Danio rerio: one gene and its partners. The protein of the gene in region 1 binds, or shares a complex with, the protein of each later gene. Links are inferred from orthologs where the notes say so. Each region holds a gene or a part of one and is shown in the gene's direction. Other genes may lie near its edges.

What was found.
Region 2: rnf113a (region 1) and eftud2 share a complex: the UniProt entries of both Homo sapiens proteins name them as parts of the minor spliceosome. The link is inferred for Danio rerio from reciprocal best matches to the Homo sapiens genes RNF113A and EFTUD2.
Region 3: rnf113a (region 1) and rbmx2 share a complex: the UniProt entries of both Homo sapiens proteins name them as parts of the minor spliceosome. The link is inferred for Danio rerio from reciprocal best matches to the Homo sapiens genes RNF113A and RBMX2.

What each region holds. Positions count from the first base shown.
Region 1 is NC_133178.1:30,712,647-30,716,228, reverse strand, and holds the start of rnf113a (E3 ubiquitin-protein ligase RNF113A), read left to right. Parts: upstream 1-782; 5' UTR 783-784; coding exon 785-890; intron 891-1,034; coding exon 1,035-1,111; intron 1,112-1,195; coding exon 1,196-1,294; intron 1,295-1,489; coding exon 1,490-1,597; intron 1,598-2,432; coding exon 2,433-2,542; intron 2,543-3,582. UniProt on the Homo sapiens protein: Required for pre-mRNA splicing as component of the spliceosome. As a component of the minor spliceosome, involved in the splicing of U12-type introns in pre-mRNAs. E3 ubiquitin-protein ligase that catalyzes the transfer of ubiquitin onto target proteins.
Region 2 is NC_133178.1:15,082,569-15,090,059, reverse strand, and holds the start of eftud2 (116 kDa U5 small nuclear ribonucleoprotein component), read left to right. Parts: upstream 1-3,239; 5' UTR 3,240-3,519; intron 3,520-3,547; exon of another isoform or gene 3,548-3,599; intron 3,600-5,590; 5' UTR 5,591-5,601; coding exon 5,602-5,703; intron 5,704-7,196; coding exon 7,197-7,368; intron 7,369-7,455; coding exon 7,456-7,491. UniProt on the Homo sapiens protein: Required for pre-mRNA splicing as component of the spliceosome, including pre-catalytic, catalytic and post-catalytic spliceosomal complexes. Component of the U5 snRNP and the U4/U6-U5 tri-snRNP complex, a building block of the spliceosome.
Region 3 is NC_133196.1:41,941,608-41,949,098, forward strand, and holds the start of rbmx2 (RNA-binding motif protein, X-linked 2), read left to right. Parts: upstream 1-2,613; 5' UTR 2,614-2,660; coding exon 2,661-2,665; intron 2,666-4,066; coding exon 4,067-4,182; intron 4,183-5,443; coding exon 5,444-5,495; intron 5,496-5,595; coding exon 5,596-5,725; intron 5,726-7,491. UniProt on the Homo sapiens protein: Involved in pre-mRNA splicing as component of the activated spliceosome. As a component of the minor spliceosome, involved in the splicing of U12-type introns in pre-mRNAs.

The sequences.
Region 1 (3,582 bases):
AAAAATAAAGCAAAGCTCAGTCGTGGTTACGGTCAGCTCTGCTAATTCACCAACTCTCTCATGATGATCATATCCGAGATCGCCTACATTTCCACGGACGGCCTCCTGCAGTCAATTACCTCAGTTTTTCATTCGGCTCCAACGAAATCTCCGATTTTCGGGCCAAAATCCTCTTGCGTGTTTCTGTGGAAGACCTTCGTGCATGAATTTCTTTAATTCACTCGGTATTTTTGTGTGTATTTCGGTCCACACAATACCCAACGTGTGTTCTCACCCAGTTGAACGAGTCGTTCCTTTCTTAAAATGGCGCGAGGCCGTAAACCGCTGCGGTGTTTCACGACACATTTACGTCTAGTGGTACATTCACGATAGGGGCGTGGCCAGTGTGGAATTTGTACTGTAAAATATTATTTATTGTTATACAGTGTCACAAAACTTATGCTATGTTGATGTACGTATCCACAGTATCCTAACTAGACTTTACCTTTATAATGGGAAAAAATTCACTCTAAATCATAATTTTACTTTAAGTACACCATAAAATACCTTAAAACGTCTTTATCCTTAATTTTGCTCAATGCATGCATCCAAATATTGTCTGAATATTGCTAGTTACTGATTAATAATAATAGTAAAGATATGTACATTATCAATTGTTAAATGGGAATATATTCATATCAAATACAACAGCAGTAAACCATTCCCATTCTACGTTTCTTCCCAAACACAAGAGGCGCTGTAACCAAAAAATGACTTCATCGTTTGTTTTTATACGTAGTTAAAGATGGCGGAGTCCGAGGAGCCGAAAAAACCCACCTGCACATTTATTTTTAAGAAATCAAACAAGAAATTTTCCGCACGGAAAAGAAATGCAAGTGACAGCGACAAAGGTACGTTGTGCTTCTTTCTTCAGTGTCTCAATCGACAGCGAGTTTGACTTGAGAAACTATAATCCCTACAACAAGCCGTCTGTTTAATTAATGTTTATGCTCAATACATGTCTGCAGTTCAGTGTTTTGTTTCTTTATCATCAGAAAAAAGCAGCGGCGATGAGGGCAGTGCAGTGGTCAGAAAGAAGAAATCTGCCGCTGTGAACCCCATGATTCAGAAAGTATGTCCGTATTTCATGTGTTTTATGTAACTAGCCGCTGTTAAACTGATGTCATCATTATTATATTTATTATTCGTTTTATAGACGAAGAAAGTGGAGAGGGAAGCTGTCTCATCGAGTGAAAGTGAAGAAGAGAAGGAAGAAAAGAGCGTGACTGTCGCTTACAAGTCCACTCGCTCAGCGGTGAGTCTGACTGACCCAACATTTGTACAGCTTCATGATTTATGCTACAGCAAATTATGAATATAAACGCTTGATGGTGCCTAATAATTCATGACCACGTATGACTTTACATTTCTATTAACGTCTGACAGTTTTTGCGCTGTCTCATTGAAACATTAAAGGCTGTAATTGAGTGTATTTGACTATGTGTTGCAGAAACCAGAGGGGCCGGATGACATGGGGGCCACTGCTGTCTATGAGCTGGACACAGAGAGGGACAAAGATGCTCAGGCCATCTTTGAGCGCAGTCAGAAAATCCAAGAGGTATGCGGGTGATTGGAAATAACTGGCTGCATCATTGTAAAGTCAGGTTTATGTATGTTATGTACAGATTCAAAGTACCTTTACAGTTCTAGATTTAGATAACATTAAACTCAGCATTTTCAATTGTATTTACACATATTTCAAGTAGACAACAGCTCTACAGAAGGTGATATAGTAGCGTGTCATGTCATGTCAGTTCAGTTATTTAGATACCTCACTCAGTGCTTTCAAGCACAGCAGAATCAATTCATTTTAGAAAATAAATAGCCTTTATAATAGGCCTGGGCGATTTGGCCTCAAATCTAAATCTTGATTAACTAAACATTTTAACCCGATTACAACTAATGATTGATTATTTCATTTGTTTTTGCCCTCATAGTTAACTGACAGGTTTCGTAAAGTGAGAGATGTTTGAAAAGGGTGCATTACTTGATTTTAAAATAATTGAAGGAAACGCAAACTATCTACTATCTATGATTATTTATTGAACATCAGCGTTGAACAACTGAAATGAAAACACACATTGCCTAAAACCAACAGTCTTCTTTTTTTCGTTGCTCTCCGCGCTGCCCACTCTTGTCATCACTATCAAGCTGACCAACCGCAGAGCTTGCGCTACGTATCGTCAAGTAGTGACATTTTTTGAGAGGTGCGCGTCAGCCACGGCGAGGAGTATGCGATTGCTCAAAGTCTGCGCTCAATGCAGAAGAATAAACCAGCATCTAAGGAGCGGGGTCATTTCATGTCATGATATTTGATTGTTGATATTGTTAAGATGGCCAGAATATACACAATCTCTTAATCATATGGCTGCGTGTTTGTGTGTAATTTATAGGAGCTGACTGGTAAAGAAGATGATAAGATTTATCGTGGGATCAACAACTATCACAAATTCATTAAACCCAAAGATTCCACTATGGGCAATGCCTCCTCTGGCATGGTCAGGTGAGTCAGTGTTGTTACGAGTTTTTCTTTCTCTTGTTTCCTCTCCCTCTTTCCTGCACTCTCTCGGTCTGAATTATTTCCAGGTGCAGCGGATTACGGCAGATTGTGATTGGTGCTTGGATTGGCGGCTGTATTTAAGAGGCCTTTGTTTATCTTCTGAACACAAATGAAAATGTTTTAGATTAAATCTGACATCTCTCTCATCCTCCATGGACAGTGAGATTTCAAAGATGTTCAAAAGTCCAGAAACCAAAAACATTGCATGGGACTTTAGTGTTCTGATGTGTAATCATGTAGAGCTCCCAAAACACTTGTAAAAAACTGTAAATACATGAAAGAATACTTTATTTTTTGTATACATGACAGGTCAGGGTGCGCGTTTACTAGGCATGGGCCGGTATAAGATTCTGACGGTATGATAACCTTGGATAAAAATATCAGAGTTTCACAGTATTGTGATTACTGCTCAAAAATATTCTTTTAAAATGTCTGGGTAAAAAAAAAACTATTATTGTTCCCATTGAACACAATATATTTTATTTTAAGAAGCATATTTTGGAACAGTAAACATGACAGGCTAAAGAATTTATTGAAGACAGCAGAAGTCAATAGTTTCGAAAACACATATTTCTTTAAAAAAAAATGAAAAAGACATTCATCTTTCTCTTCTTTGGATATAAAGTAAGCCACAGCACTGTTCAGGTCCAGAGCATGCCTGGATGTTTTGGTGCTTAAGCATTTTGTTTTTCAGATGTTCCCTAAACCATGGGCTGACCAGTAGCTGTTGCCCTAAAAAAACTAAATAAAATAAAAAAACATGTTGTAAAAAACATGTTTAAACAATGTACATATACCACAGTGTAACAGAAAATGTTAGCGGTTTTAAAACCCTGACTTTTCCAAACCGCAGGAAACCTTGAAAGTCACATGGATTGTTTTTGGATCCTTTTCTGGACTTTGAACGTCTCTTGTCTATGGAGGATGAGGGTGCTCTCAGATTTCATGTAAAATATCTTTATTTGTGTTCCGAAAATCAAACA
Region 2 (7,491 bases), about 16 Mb from region 1:
TGGCAACGATTTCTGGAAGTTTTTAAGAATATCTTGGACAATAACACTGCTCTATGTTGTATATCGCACTCAAAGAGACATCAATAATCAGCGGATGAACCTCAATAATGGTGACGACTAACAAAATTAACAGTTTAACTCACAAACAGGCAACTGAAAGTCTAAACATAAACAACAGCAGAATCAAACACAAGTAAAGAAAACTCTTAGACCACTATACAACATTTTTTTATACCGCAATGCATGCTGGGATATTTGTACCGTGCCACTCCCAGCATGCATTGCAGCATGAAACATTTGAGATGTTACCATTGTTGAGATACAAGGTCAGATCCATGAGGTCTGAGTGTGTATTTGTCATAACTGAATTGTATTTGTATGTTATTTCTTAACTGTTAAGTAATTACTGAGGTATCTTTCTGTTTTCACTTCTCATTAATTTAATTAATACCTGCAACTAAACATAAAATCTATTGCATGAAGCCCTTCTTCCAGATTTATACCAAAACATTTATCAGAACTAATTTAAGACAAATATATTTCTCTATTTATTGACTTTCCAACTTGACTGCTATAATACAAGCATTTTGTTAACTCTTTATTATAGTGATTGGAGAGTCTGAATTAATCAGTTCAAGGGTGAAGAGCCCAACTAAACCAGCCCCTCACTCCATTACGGTGACACAAAAAACACCTTAATTTCTGTTGGATCTCAATGTGAATAGTATGGAAGTCAAATCAGTCAGTAATAAGTGTGTGTCTGCTGTTGTTTGTGGAGTTGTTTAATGATCCTCTGCTGAGACTGAAGCTGTTTTATTTTATTTGATTTTATTTAATGTTGTAACTCAAGTCACTGTTTGTGTTTCTTGTTTATTTTCTTCAGTAATTGTAATTATTAACAGCAGGTGTTCATCAGTGTCTGAATTCACTCATTAGTGTTCATTAAAACTGTCAGGTGAACTATATTAGTTAACTAGTGTATGAAATAGTGAACAAGGACACAAAGTGTGATTTCAAACACAGACTTTAAAACATCGAATCTGAACTCTGTTAGCTCACAGTTTTCTGCAGTTGGTTACTTTCTCGAAAACAAAAATGTTACCCAGAAAGCATTGTTTTTAACAGAATATTACTGTTTTAGTGAAAAAACATTATTTTACCGTAGAATCTGACCGTTTTTTAACAGCAATTTTTTACAGTGTAGTTATTAAAGCTATTATGTTTAGAAATGTGTTGAAAAAAAATCTCTCTGTTAAACAGAAATTGGGGAAAAATAAACAGAGGGGCGAATAATTCAGGGAGGCTAATAATTCTGACTTCAACTATATATAAAAAAATAATAAAAATAAAACAAATTTAAAAAGTGGCACACGAGTCACAAGCACCTTGTATCTGGGACTGGCGCAGCTCAAGTGAGACATGTTATCTCCCCTCTTTGCCTTCTTGGTGGCTGCAGCCAGTCAATATAGCTCAGCTTATTGTAATAGAAATTAGCTACGCAGATTGGAATCAGGTGGCACCAATCTGCAAACAAAAGAAATCAGGAAACAGAGAAAAAAAACTGCAATATAGAAACAAAAATAAAACAATCACATGTAACATTATCTTAATGTAATCGATATCAATTGTCATTTACGGACTTGTAATGGACAGTAAGGAAGACGCCTTCCTAATCAACAACATCCTTATGCCTGGAAAATTTTTCATACATAAATCAAAATATTTGAAGGTGAAACTAATGTTTTGTGCTTTTTATAATGAGATTCTTTCATATATAAAATCCCTTAAAGATCCTGAGGTGTGGAATCTGAAGCATCCATAATGCATCCACAAACATACAGTGAAAAAACAAATGATCTGTTGTTTCAATATCATCACAAAACACACATTTATTAGACTCAAATCCAAATCTAATTCCTAAATATTTACTTGACAGATTCATCCCACTTAAAACTTTAAAATGAACTTTTTTAGTTATTGGAGACAGAGGAAACTTTAAATATTTAAATATTTAATTTTAAGTACGTGAATGGTATCTTTTTAGATAATTTATGTGAAGTTGAGTTTTTTTTATAATTATTATTTTTTCCTTAATTATGTCTAAATAAGGAAATACTTTCTTACTCTACTCTTGTAACCCCAACTGTGCCTCGTGTGTTAACTGAAGTCTGTGATTTCAAAGAAAGAAATCTATGTAAAAACCAATGATTGGTAACAACATTTTATATCCTATAAAATGGATATAAAATGTTGTTACATAGATTTCTTTCTTTGAAATCACAGACTTCAATTAACACAGGAGGCACAGTTGGGGTTATAAGGGTAGAGTAAGAAAGTATTTCCTTAATTAGACAGACAAATGAGATAGAAATGGCTTTAAAGATTTAAACTTTACTGAATTAGAAATTATATTTAGTACAAACATTTTCATATGAAGTAATACCTTTATTGCTGTCAATTAATTGGGATACTGACAAATCTCTTTTCCCATCCATTCCTTGTCAAACAATGTTTTGTTTTTAATAGTGTTCACTTCATTTTATGACCATTTTCAGCCTACAGATATGCACCTTATTGTTGGAAGAAATTGTCTAGCTATAAAAAAAACTAGAATTAAAAATGTTTAACTGGTTTTGTTTTGATTTAGATTTTTTTATTCAGAGAGCTTATATTAGCTATAACAGAGTTTGGTTGTCTATTAGTAGGCTACATTTGCAAATTTTAAGTCTTATAAGTCTGTCAGTCACCCTACTTTTTGAGTACATACTTGAAAATGATACATGGTAGTAGCCTATGTATGTAGCTATAGTTTGTCAAGATAAATTCAGATCTAGATACTTTTTGTACTGAAAAACAAAAAAAGTTTTTTGTATAATAATTAAAGCTGTAAATCATACTTAAGATTACCCTTAAGTGTTTGAAGCCAATATCTATTTGAGCCACTTCATAGATATATATTCCATACATATATAATACACTCCATATGTGTGTGTATATATATATAATAAGATATCTATGGAGTCACTCAATGTTTATTTACGTTTTTGTTTTTACTCCAACATTAAAAAATAGTGGTCAAAATTTTAAAATTGATTTTTAAATATATGAAAACTTAAAAAAACATTTTTTTTAGTAAATCTTGGCTGACTGCGACATGTATTAGTAGCCTGTTTTTTTTTTTTCAAACAGGCAATATGCTTGGCGAACGCTGATGACGTCACCAACGTACGACCTACGTTGAGCTGTGCGAGGACCTCGCGGTGCATGGTTTGAAACAGTACGAGGGATCATTTTGTAACAATAAAATCACACCGGGATTAAAAACAAGACTCGCACACAGGTATAACACTGTTATAATACGCACTATATTTACGACGGAAATAATTATTTACACGAAGCAATTATTCATTCATTCGCTGTCGTACGTTTGCTGCGCGATCAGTTGCAATATCGGCTTTACTTGAGGCAGTTTCACAAGGGAATCTTTTATATTTATTGCGATTTTCAGTATGTTATGAGGTAATTTTATTCACTTTAATGTTTGCTGTGTTTATTGGGCTCTTAAAGATACATGTTCGACACTACAGCATTTTATTGAGGTAAAGTTTTTGCTCATTGACAACTTGTGTCACGTTCCCTTTGGTGTTTACATTGAGGTAAAGTTGGTTTTATATTCGGACTTTCCCTTTAATAATAGCTATAATTTAAAAAGATATGATTCTCTGCAAGTAGTGAACTCATATTAGCAGCCATAGACTTTCAAAGTACAACATTGTTCACAGAGTTAATAGAATTAAATTGTGCTAACGCTGTTTTGAAGTTAAACTTACTTTCTATTTCAGGCTGAATATTCAAAGTACAATATAGAGAAGGTATTAATTTAACGTTACCAGTTTCTATCCAAAACGCAAAACTAACTAGCACATTGGTTGGATGCAAATTAAGGTAAACTTGGTTATATTAGCACATTCATTCAGTGACAACTTGTGACATGTTTCTTATATTGTTTACAAGGCTACTTTCAATATTTGGTTTGAAATCACATACAAGTATGACTTCAAAACAACATTAGCACTGTTTGATTGACTGAACAATGTTGTACTTTCATAGTCACTGGCTGCTAATATGATTACCCCGTTTATAATTTGCAAAGAATACTTTTCTGAGATGATATTATCAATGAGAATGTGTGAATAGAAAACCAACTTTACCTCAATGTTACTTTTAATATTCAGTCTGAAATTGCTTCCAAGTATGAATTCAAAACTGTGAAGACTTTGACTGTGAGCAATGTTGTACTTTGATAGTCATCGGTAGCTAATATGAATTTCTTATTTAGAATTTGTAAAGAATACTTTACTGAAATTATATTATTAAGAAAAAAGTCTGAATGTTCGAATATTAAGATAAAAGTTTTAAGCAGAGTTTAATTAAGTTTAATTATTCAAAAACATTTACAGTGATTCGGACTATTAGGGAATAAACCTTAGTGTGTCACCTTTCAAAAGAGACCAAAACAATGCATAGTTACCTCATAGAATAAAATTGACTTCTAATGTATTTATCCCTTTTTCGTATAAAATAAAAAAAACAGATTTTTAAAAATACGGTTTCATTAAGCTGCAGTCTGGAGTAGGCATGAGACGATAACCATTTTTTAAGCTATACCGCGGTTTAGAAAAGTCAAGGTTTTAAAACCGTCAATTTTCTGCTATATTGTTCCTAGGGTATGAGTAAGATTTTTTAATTTACTTTTTTCTTAGTTTTTTTTTAGGACAGCAGAAAAGATATTCAAAGATTGCGTTTTAAATTTTTTACAAATCTGTATTTTTGAAACAAATGAAGGAAGCAGAAGTCAATAATTCATTTGAATTATTTAGCCTGACATGTTTACTGCTCCAAAATATTATGAATGTTTCCCAAATAAAATATATTGTGTACAAAGGGGAAAACGTTTTTATTTTTTTACCCAGACATTTAAAAGGAATATATTTCAGAGCAGTAATCGCAATACCTAAAACCGTGATATTTATATCCAAGATTATCATAGTATCAGAATCTTATACCAGCCCATGCCAAATCCGGGGTTTTAAAACATTTAACATCAAATAAATACTCTAAATATAGAAAAATCCTGCAATGTTTTAAACAAAAACCTTTATTTGTTTTTAGAAAGACACCCACAAATAAACTTTTTTTACAAGGGGTGAGTTAGTCAGCTAAAGTTAGTTGTAACATTTGTGATTTTTAAATATTTTAACAATCAATAATTTTACAATCGAATTTGTCACCTGACAAAGACCAATACTAAAAATGGTTAAAAATAGCATGCAATTTACTTTGGGTATGCATTTTGTTAGGCATTTAAGCAAATTTTACAGAAACGCTAAGAATTTAAACCAATTTTACCTCAATCAGCATTTTGTGCAGTAATACTAAAAGTGTTACAGTAACGTTTTTCCCAACACTAGAAAATAAAACAGACAGAATAATGAACCACTGCTGCATTTTAAATGAGTTGATCTGCATTCCGAATAGTTCCTCTGCACCAAAGTAAGTTATGTCATTTGTATCTGTTTTGTCCTATCAGAGCTCGTCGCCATGGAGACTGATCTTTATGACGAGTTTGGAAATTATATCGGACCAGAGCTGGACTCTGATGAGGATGAAGAGCTAGATGCAGAGGACCGGGATGCTGATGAGGTGATTGTATAACCTGTAATCATATTCAAACTGCCAAACCGTTGCTAGTTGGAGCATTTGTGCCATTTAAGTGCAGTTTCATTAACCCTATTACATTAACCCTTAATTGCCTGCTCAAATCGTTGACCAGCTTTTGACTTTTAAATAATGACTTTTAAAGTCATTTTAAGAATGACTGTTTTAATAATGGTTTACACGACACAGCATTGTTGGTTTATAAAATAATCAAACAAATGTAATCCTGTTTTGTTACTACACTCAATTTTGGTTTTATTGATATATATATACACACACACACACACACATATATACATACATATCTATATATATATATATATATATATATATATATATATATATATATACATATATATATACATACATACATACATACATACATACATACATACATGCATACATACATATATATATATATATATATATATATATATATATATATATATATATATAAGAAAACATGTTAAATGAGAATCTGAAATATTTTTTGGCATACTTCAAAAAATAAAGATGATATAGTATTCAAAAACAATTTATTTTGAATATTTTTTTTAAATAAATATGTCTTACACTTCATATTTTCAGATTTTTCATTGGATATGTATTAATTCCGGTAATTTTTCCATAAACGGACACATCAACCTCTACCAAATGGTTGATATTTTGTCGCATGTTGAAAAAAAATTCATTGGATGTGTTGACTAGTGACATTATGAGTTAAGAAATGCTATCCATAGTATTTTTTTCTTGGTGGAGCAGTTAAAGGGTTAATATACCATATTCCTAAATTATACGTATATTAATATACAGAACTCATTTAAATGAGGACAAAAGTAGCAGGTCAAATCGCCAGGGCTCTGATTTATCAAATTTGCATAGACAAGTTCTTAGTAAGGAACATACATCAGAATAAAGTAATTTATTTATTGATGATTAGCTCATTTAAAGTGGTTTAAATCAATATTTAAATTAAATATGTTTGCTTAGAGATTAATTACAGCTGTGGACACTCTCCTCTCAAGCTTATAGATCACAACCTTTGAGTGGCTAACGCATATTTCTGCCCATTTTGTGCATATGCCATGTTCATCAATGAGACCCCAGAAGAGCAGTTACACATAAAGCCTAATTACACAATTAGGATCAAAGCCTAAAAGGGGTCATTTCAAAAAGTTATGAAGCGTTATTTGTGGAATATTTTTTTTTATAATTATTACGTTTTTTTTCTATGTTTTGGGGGGAGGGGAGCACTGGGAGCAGAGAGAGGGGAAGTATGGGCATAGGACCTCAAGCCGGGAATCGAACTCGGGTCGCCCTGAGCACTATGGTGCTATATGTCAGAGACTTATTTTACATCTAGTAAAAATGAGCATAATAGGCCCCCTTTAAATTGTTCAGCTGAAGCGTGTAGAGTCAGTGGTTGTTTTTATGCAAAAATCAGCTCCTTGAATTTGATGTACATTTTCTTAAAACAGGCGGATGAGGAGGATGACGATGATGACCAGGCTGAGGCTGATGAGGATGGAGGAGGTGGTGGTATGGAGGTGGTTCTGCATGAGGATAAAAAGTATTATCCCACTGCTGAAGAAGTGTATGGTCCTGAGGTGGAAACTATTGTTCAAGAAGAAGATACACAGCCGCTGACAGGTAACAGACACGCTGGTGGAAGAACAGTTTGTTTATCGCATGCACACTCAGTGGAAAATCAATGTATCTGACTTAATTGTTCCTCAGAGCCCATTATAAAACCTGTGAGGATGAAGCAGTTTA
Region 3 (7,491 bases), on another chromosome or scaffold:
TACAGCCAATGGTAATCAAATTCACCTGTAGCCCATGTCTTTGGACTGTGGGAGAAACCAGAGCACCTGGAGGAAACCCCCGCCAACAAGAGAACATGCAATCTCCACACAAAAATGCTAACTGGCCACTGTGCCACCAAAATTAGATGTAGATAAGCATGCGTTGGCCAAAATTATGATTTTTTTTTTTTTTCATTTTTAATATTACTGACAGAAAAAAATGTGTATCTAAGGGTCCTTGAAATATTTATGCCAAACAGTAAAACAATGTCATTTTTAAGTTATTTCTTATAATATTGTTATATATGTTATCTGCCATTGCAGTGCCATTAAAGTATATGCTTCATATGCAAGCTCAGTAAGCCCTTTTAAAGTATGAGAAATGCAATTACATACCAATAATAAACCTTTCAAGGCCCAAGGTGTTTTTTTTACATGCATTTTTTATTTCTCTTTGCTATTTTGGCATATAGGAACATAATTATTATCTTTTGATATGGTGTACTTTTAGATAAAAATGATGTCCATATATGTGGACTCGTGGTCTGAATTTACAAAAAACACTTTTTCCTGAATGTTTTTAATGCATATATAACATATACATTTTTTCCCCATTTTGGACAGTTAAAAATAGTGTTTGGGACATTTCATATGCTGCAAAACAGTTGCAGGATGACACTGTCTGTGACAAAATATAAAACATTCAAAGTATTTTAAATAGCCACTTAAGGGCTAAAATGTACTGTCCACGTATGTGGCCACTAAGTCCTAGGAGATTAATGCTAAACAATTACTTGAAAAAAGAAACTACTTACTTCAAAAAGAAACTACTCGATCAGCCTGTTTTCTACACCCCATGACTCCTGAGCAAATTATGGGATTAACTTTTGTTAAACTCAAACAGAGAAAGGTTGGCAATCAAGTTTTTTTCATAAACAACAACAACAAGGTAACATTATTTTGCTTATTCTTGAACTAGCAGTTATTAAAAGACAGGAAAGAAGACAGACATTTTGCATATCACTGTTGCCTTTAAGATTTTACAATTATCGATGAGGGGACATTCTAAAATGCTTAGCATGAAAAAAGCTTAATGTACATCAACAAGAGAAACCCAATTTTTTGTCAAACTTTACTTGTAATTAACCCTAACTTCTATAAAAAGAACAAGTCCCAAGCAAAATAGTCTGCCAATGGGGTAAAAAAAAATCTTATGTCAAAAGGAGAAACAAGATTATTTTGCTCACCCCATCGGCAGATTATTTAGCTTGTTTTAAGGAAAAAATCACTTAATATTGGCATATTATTTCTCAAAACAAGACAATATGTTTTGCTTACCTAGAAAATGCTTCTTGATATAAGAGTAATTTTTTGATATTTGGACTAGAAACATGCCAAAAAAAAAATCCTAGAAAATAAATTATGCAGTGTAAATCCTAGTTTGGAACATTTGTGTTATTTTATATGGCCACAAAGGGAAATCAATATTTCACAATAGTATATTGCTTACATAAGAGTCACATGTCATTATACCTCAAAATAATCTGTCTTTATTAGTAAGATAACATTTTGGGGCTAATTTTATGATGAAAGCTCTGTAAGTTAAATTGTTGTGTGCAATTAAATTAAATCAGAGGCCTGCTGTGCTGATGGGGTATATGTACACTGACTTTTAATTTTAGTAAGGCAGCCCCAGGGCTTTCAGTGTCTTTCTGTTATAAAATTGCCACATTTAAGGTCTGATTTCTTTGAAAATTAGTGATCTTTACTGCGTGTTAGATATTCGATATGTGGGTTTCAGACCGGACAAGAATCACTGATTTAAATGACATTTCCCCCAACATGTTTACCCCAGTATTTTCTGGTATGAAGTTTCTGCAGCCTGCTGATCTTGACGGCGCTATCTGTACACGGTCTTTTATCTTGTTACTCTTGAACAACTGAATGAATGCTTAAGTCTATTTAACTGAAAGTGTTATTACATTACAACATCGATGCTGTGAAAGGAACCTTATGAAACTGAAAATAGTCACATTAAGCTTTCACCGGATGTTTATCTTTGGCTGAAAAACCCTATTGATTAAACATCTTGGTTGATTGGTTTGATAAATGTTAGAATTTTCCATGATATTTCTAATAAAGCTTTTCAACAAAGAATTGTTTATTTTGATAAATCATTTCTGTCAAATATGATGCTATAGCCTATTTTTATGAAGACATTAAGTTAATCATCACATCTAGTTTTCTCTTTGTTTCCTTTAGAGCCTGTTTAAGGTACAAAATAACAAAAATGCAGTAAATATTGCTGAAATTTTTGCTAATTCAACCATTTAAGCCTCTAAACTGAGGAAAATGTAGGCTATAATTCAATCAAACTGACAGAAACTATTAATTTTTAGCAGTGTTGTAAGCATGATTCGTTCGTTTGTTTGTTTGTTTATTTGTTTTTTGTTCATTTTTTTTATTATTTACCACTGTTTTAATGATTTAGCGAAATAATTTAGCTACTTTGCAATTAGCATGGTTTTACTACAAAAACGCCGTATGGACAGTCAGTCAAATACACATCCCACAATCCTTTTGTCTAAACCGGAAGACAATGGCACCACGTGTGGACTGCGAAAAAGAAACTATTTCCGGAGTGACTTCGATTCACCAAAATGAAGTAAGTGATGAGTTAAATGTTTGCGTTTGATTAAAATATTTTCAATACATTTGTTATACCGTGTTTCTTGTACGTTTGAGAATTTAATTAGACTATTCAGTCATGGAATGAAATGTCGATACAGCCAGAAGCCTCTGGTTTGCAGCAACAGCTAAAGCTAGCATAAATATAAACGAAAACTGTTACATTAAACATTAACATTCAGTTACATGTGTTTTACTGGAATAATAATATAATTAAAATATTTTTTATAATAGAAATGTTTTGTCGTGGAACGTTGTTCAATTGTTATTTACTTGTTATTGAGAAATCATTTTTAGTTTTATCAACTCATTAAAGTATATCTTTTTTCATAAGCTTACAACTGGTCAGAATAATAATCATTTTACTTTGTTGTGATATAAAGTCAATTTTTGTCTACTAAATTCAGATTTCTTAACTCGTCGTTATTTAAAACATTGGTATTGTGTTGTCTAAAAATGAATATAAACATGTATGATTCCTTTACGAAAACGATAATCTTTTGTGACCAATTATCAGTTTACATTGTATGTTGAATATAGAAGAAATGTTATCAGTGGGACAAAACTATTGACTTGCATAACAAAACCATATACATCAATGTTTATTGTGTTGACATCTTTAATTTTTAAAGATTTTAGGCTGTAAAAAGTGTCAAAGTCATAATGAATCTTGAATAGGGGTTCACGACATTGGGTAAAAAAAATGACATTGCGGTTTTTAGTTTTCTGCAATATACATTGCGATATAAATATGATTTCACAAAAGATTACCTAAATAACTCTGTGTAAACAATTCAAATATTTGCATGAAACATTATAAACAATTTGTAAGCATAGATAAATGCAGTAGAATGTGTTTGTTTGTTTTGTGTTTTATGGTTTTCTGTGGAGTCTAAGAATATTAAACTAACATTAATCAAATAACATTATATTGTATTAATTGTAGTAACTAGAAACAATTTTATTCTTTGTTAAATCTCTAAACTATAAAACTAAAATTTCTTGGTTTACTTTCACTTGTCACAGTTCCTTAAAACGCATCCAAATGAAAATCTTTCACTCTGTTAGGATTCAAATTTGCGATGACTCCAAAAATTATGTTCTGAAATGTAATTCCTGGTCATTGTAATCACAACTCAACACTGCGGATGCTGCAGTGTGACTATTGCATATTTGTACATTGCGATATCGATGTTAAAGCAATATATTGTGCAGCCCTAATCCTGAATATACTGCATTTTCTCATATTTTGGTTTAGTCACCATAACAGAATAATAAACAAAATGACATATTGTGGCCCACAAAATGAATGAACAAGCAAACATATATTCATTATCTGTCTTTTTTTCTGTTTTTTTTTTTTCTTCATTAAATGTAGTCCACTGACCAAAGTGAAGCTGATCAATGAACTGAATGAAAGAGAAGCTCAGCTGGGCATCAAAGAGACTGTGTCCTGGCATTCAGTCTATAAAAACAGCGCCTGGGTCTTCATCGGTGAGGAAATGATGAACATTATTACATAGTTACATTATGGCTGTGGACCAAAAGATAGATCAATCTGTCACAGCACTTCGGCAATCATTATTATAGACCAGTGGTGCCCAAACTCGGTCCTGGAGGGCCGGAGTCCTGGAGAATTAAGCTCCAACCCTAGTTAAACTTGACTGAACAAGCTAATCAAGCTTTAAATAGCATACTAGAAACTTTTAGGCAAGTGTGTTGAAGCAAGTTGGAGCTAAACTCTGCAGGACACCGGCCCTCCAGGACTGAGTTTTGGGCATGCCTGTTATGGAAGCTAAGATGCTGTCTGGATGGACTATATTTACATTCTGCCAGATGGTGGCAGCATTCATCTGTTTAACTAAATGTGTGTTTTTGTAGACAATGGCATGATTTTAGTCCTCCAGAAACCCACACTGGTACACAGTGATCTGACCTTGTACAATTTCAAAGTGATTTACATTTATTGTTGTATTTTTTATGTTGCATTCATTTACTAGACAGAACATTGCAATTCAAACCATGAAGTCAGAATTATTCGCCCTCCTGTGAATGTGTGTTTTTTTCTTTTTCAAACATTTTCCAAATGATGTTTAACAGAGAAATACACTTTTCACAGTATTTCTGACTATTTTCTTCTGGAGAAACTTTGATGTCTTTAATCTTTTCTAGAATAAAAGCAGTTTTAAATTATTTTTTAAAACCATTTAAGGGGCAATATTATTAGCCCCCTTAAGCAATATTTTTTTTCGATGGTCTACAGAACAAATCTTTTTTATACAATGATTTGCCTTAAAACCCTAACTGGCCTAGTTGATCTAATTACCCTAGTTAAGTCTTTAATTTGCTCTTTAAGGTGAATGCTAGTATCCTGAAAAATATCTAGTAAAATATTATGTACTGCCGTCATGACAAAGATAAAAGAAATCAGTTATTAGAAATGAGTTATTAAAACTATGTTTCGAAATGTGTTGAAAAATCTTTCCATTAAACAGAAATTGGGGGGGAAAATGTACAGCTATTAATTCAGGATGTCTAAAAATTTTGACTTGTATGTATGTATGTATGTATGTATGTATGTATGTATGTGTGTGTGTGTGTGTGTGTGTGTGTGTGTGTGTGTGTGTGTGTTTGTGTATATATATATTTATATAAATATGTATATATATATATATGTGTGCGTGCGTGTGCGTGCGTGTGTGTGTGTGTATTTATTTTAAGTAATGTAAATATGTATATTAATATCAATCTGCAGGTGGATTTCCATATGAGCTGACAGAAGGAGACATCATCTGTGTTTTCTCTCAGTAAGCCAGAGTGTTCATTTTAAACATGTCTTTTTGTGCTAAAGACGTCAGTATTTATTTTCTTTGCTAGTAAAGCTTAATCCTCCTCTGTGAATGTCAGGTATGGAGAGATTGCCAACATCAACTTGGTTCGAGATAAAAAGACTGGCAAATCCAAAGGATTCTGTTTCCTGTGCTATGAAGATCAGAGGAGCACTATTCTGGCTGTCGATAACTTTAACGGAATCAAGGTGAAACGCTTTTCTAGTGTCTTTTTAGTGATGTGGTCTTTTTCAACCTGAATTGTATTTTATTCAGATGCAGAAGAGTTCAGATGCAAAAACCTCTAAGTGCCATCTGAAACGTTCTCCTAAAATGAGCATTTATCTCAGCTTCCTATGTTTATGTTCATATATTTAACTTCAAAGTCAATGAAAATAACTTATTCGTCACTATTTTATCACTCATTTTAGAAGAAAATATCAAATGGCTTTTTGCATCTAAACTTTTCACATATACATATATACACACACACACACACACACACACACACACACACATATATATACACATGTGTGTGTGTGTGTGTGTGTCAGTTCAATAAAAAAGTGGCAGTTTATTTATTTAATACCTGGAAACAAAAAATGCACTTGACTATAGAAAGTGCTTTTTACTACAGTGAACAGGTGGGTTGAGCCTATTTGCCTTATTCAGAACTCAAATGGCTATGCCTGTCTATGGAATACTAGTATACAACCCATATTAGACACTATTAAATTACTACTTATGAATGTAATATTAGGCTTTATATTATATTTATAATATTTATATTTATAATAGATTTTTTTTTCACCATATAAGGAGGTAAGCCCCCCTAAAATGAAAATCCTAAAATCACCCCTAATGGCGGACTTTGTAAGTGGAAAAACTGAAGGCTTCACTAGAAAGAAAACAGTTAAACAGAGCATCTACAGCGCCAGAATGAGAGATGAGCCTCCTCATTGTTTACTTTCTCTTTCACTCTCATGGATAGGGAAAAATGTTGTACGCACAGATTTCCATTGCCCTATACATAATTAATTTTGTTTGTTAAGCACAAAGAGTTGTTTCAAAACTACTTCTAAATTCAATTCTAATTTCCAGCAAACGAATAAATGAACAGTAATAATAAAGTGTGGTCAAAAAACTGAGTTATATCCAAATACACATGCTGTGCCCAATATGGTCTAAAACCTGACAGGTGAACAAATCTAAGCTTGTTTTTAGTAAAACAAATTTAAATATGCATATAATAAATACTACTACTATTAATAATAACATTATACAAAAGCAAATTGTTATGAATAAACTGAAAAAGCCCCCGAGATAAAGAAGAATGAAAGTATGTTTTTTATATTTATGTAGGCTAGAAAATAATAATTTTTGTAATATTTTAATCCTTTATTTTTTTTATTTGTGAAGATATTTGCGTATTGCTGTACATACTCTGTGTATTAAGAAATGTGTAAGCGAGGCGCACAACTAATGCGCTCTGCGCTGGAAAATAGACCAGCTTTGATCTGATCCATTTGAACCTTCTATTTAAGTTCCTCAAAATAGCAACGCGCCAGCAATGCACCTCAACATGCCTCCTTTTTTAGACCTGAACACCTATGGGCGCACATATGAGCGCAAATGCATTTGCTATTTAAACACCGTGGTGCAAAACGTCGAAACGACTCGTGTCGAGCTGAAACTAGCAAACAACAATTGCTTTGCATATGATAGGGCCCAAAGTGTCCAGGCCTGGTCCTCTCTTCTCCTTTTATTATCAAGAGCTCCTCTGTGGGACTCAAAACCAGTGCGGCAACAGGTGCTGCTTCTCATCTCTCACGCTCTCACCCCCGCCCCACTCTCTAGTCTAATAACATTTCTTTCGAATATAAAATAATTTAGAGTTTTTTAAATTGACAAAATAAATGTTTTCATTGTTTTCAAAATCAGGGTTATTGCACCAAATATGGCTTTCTTAACTCCT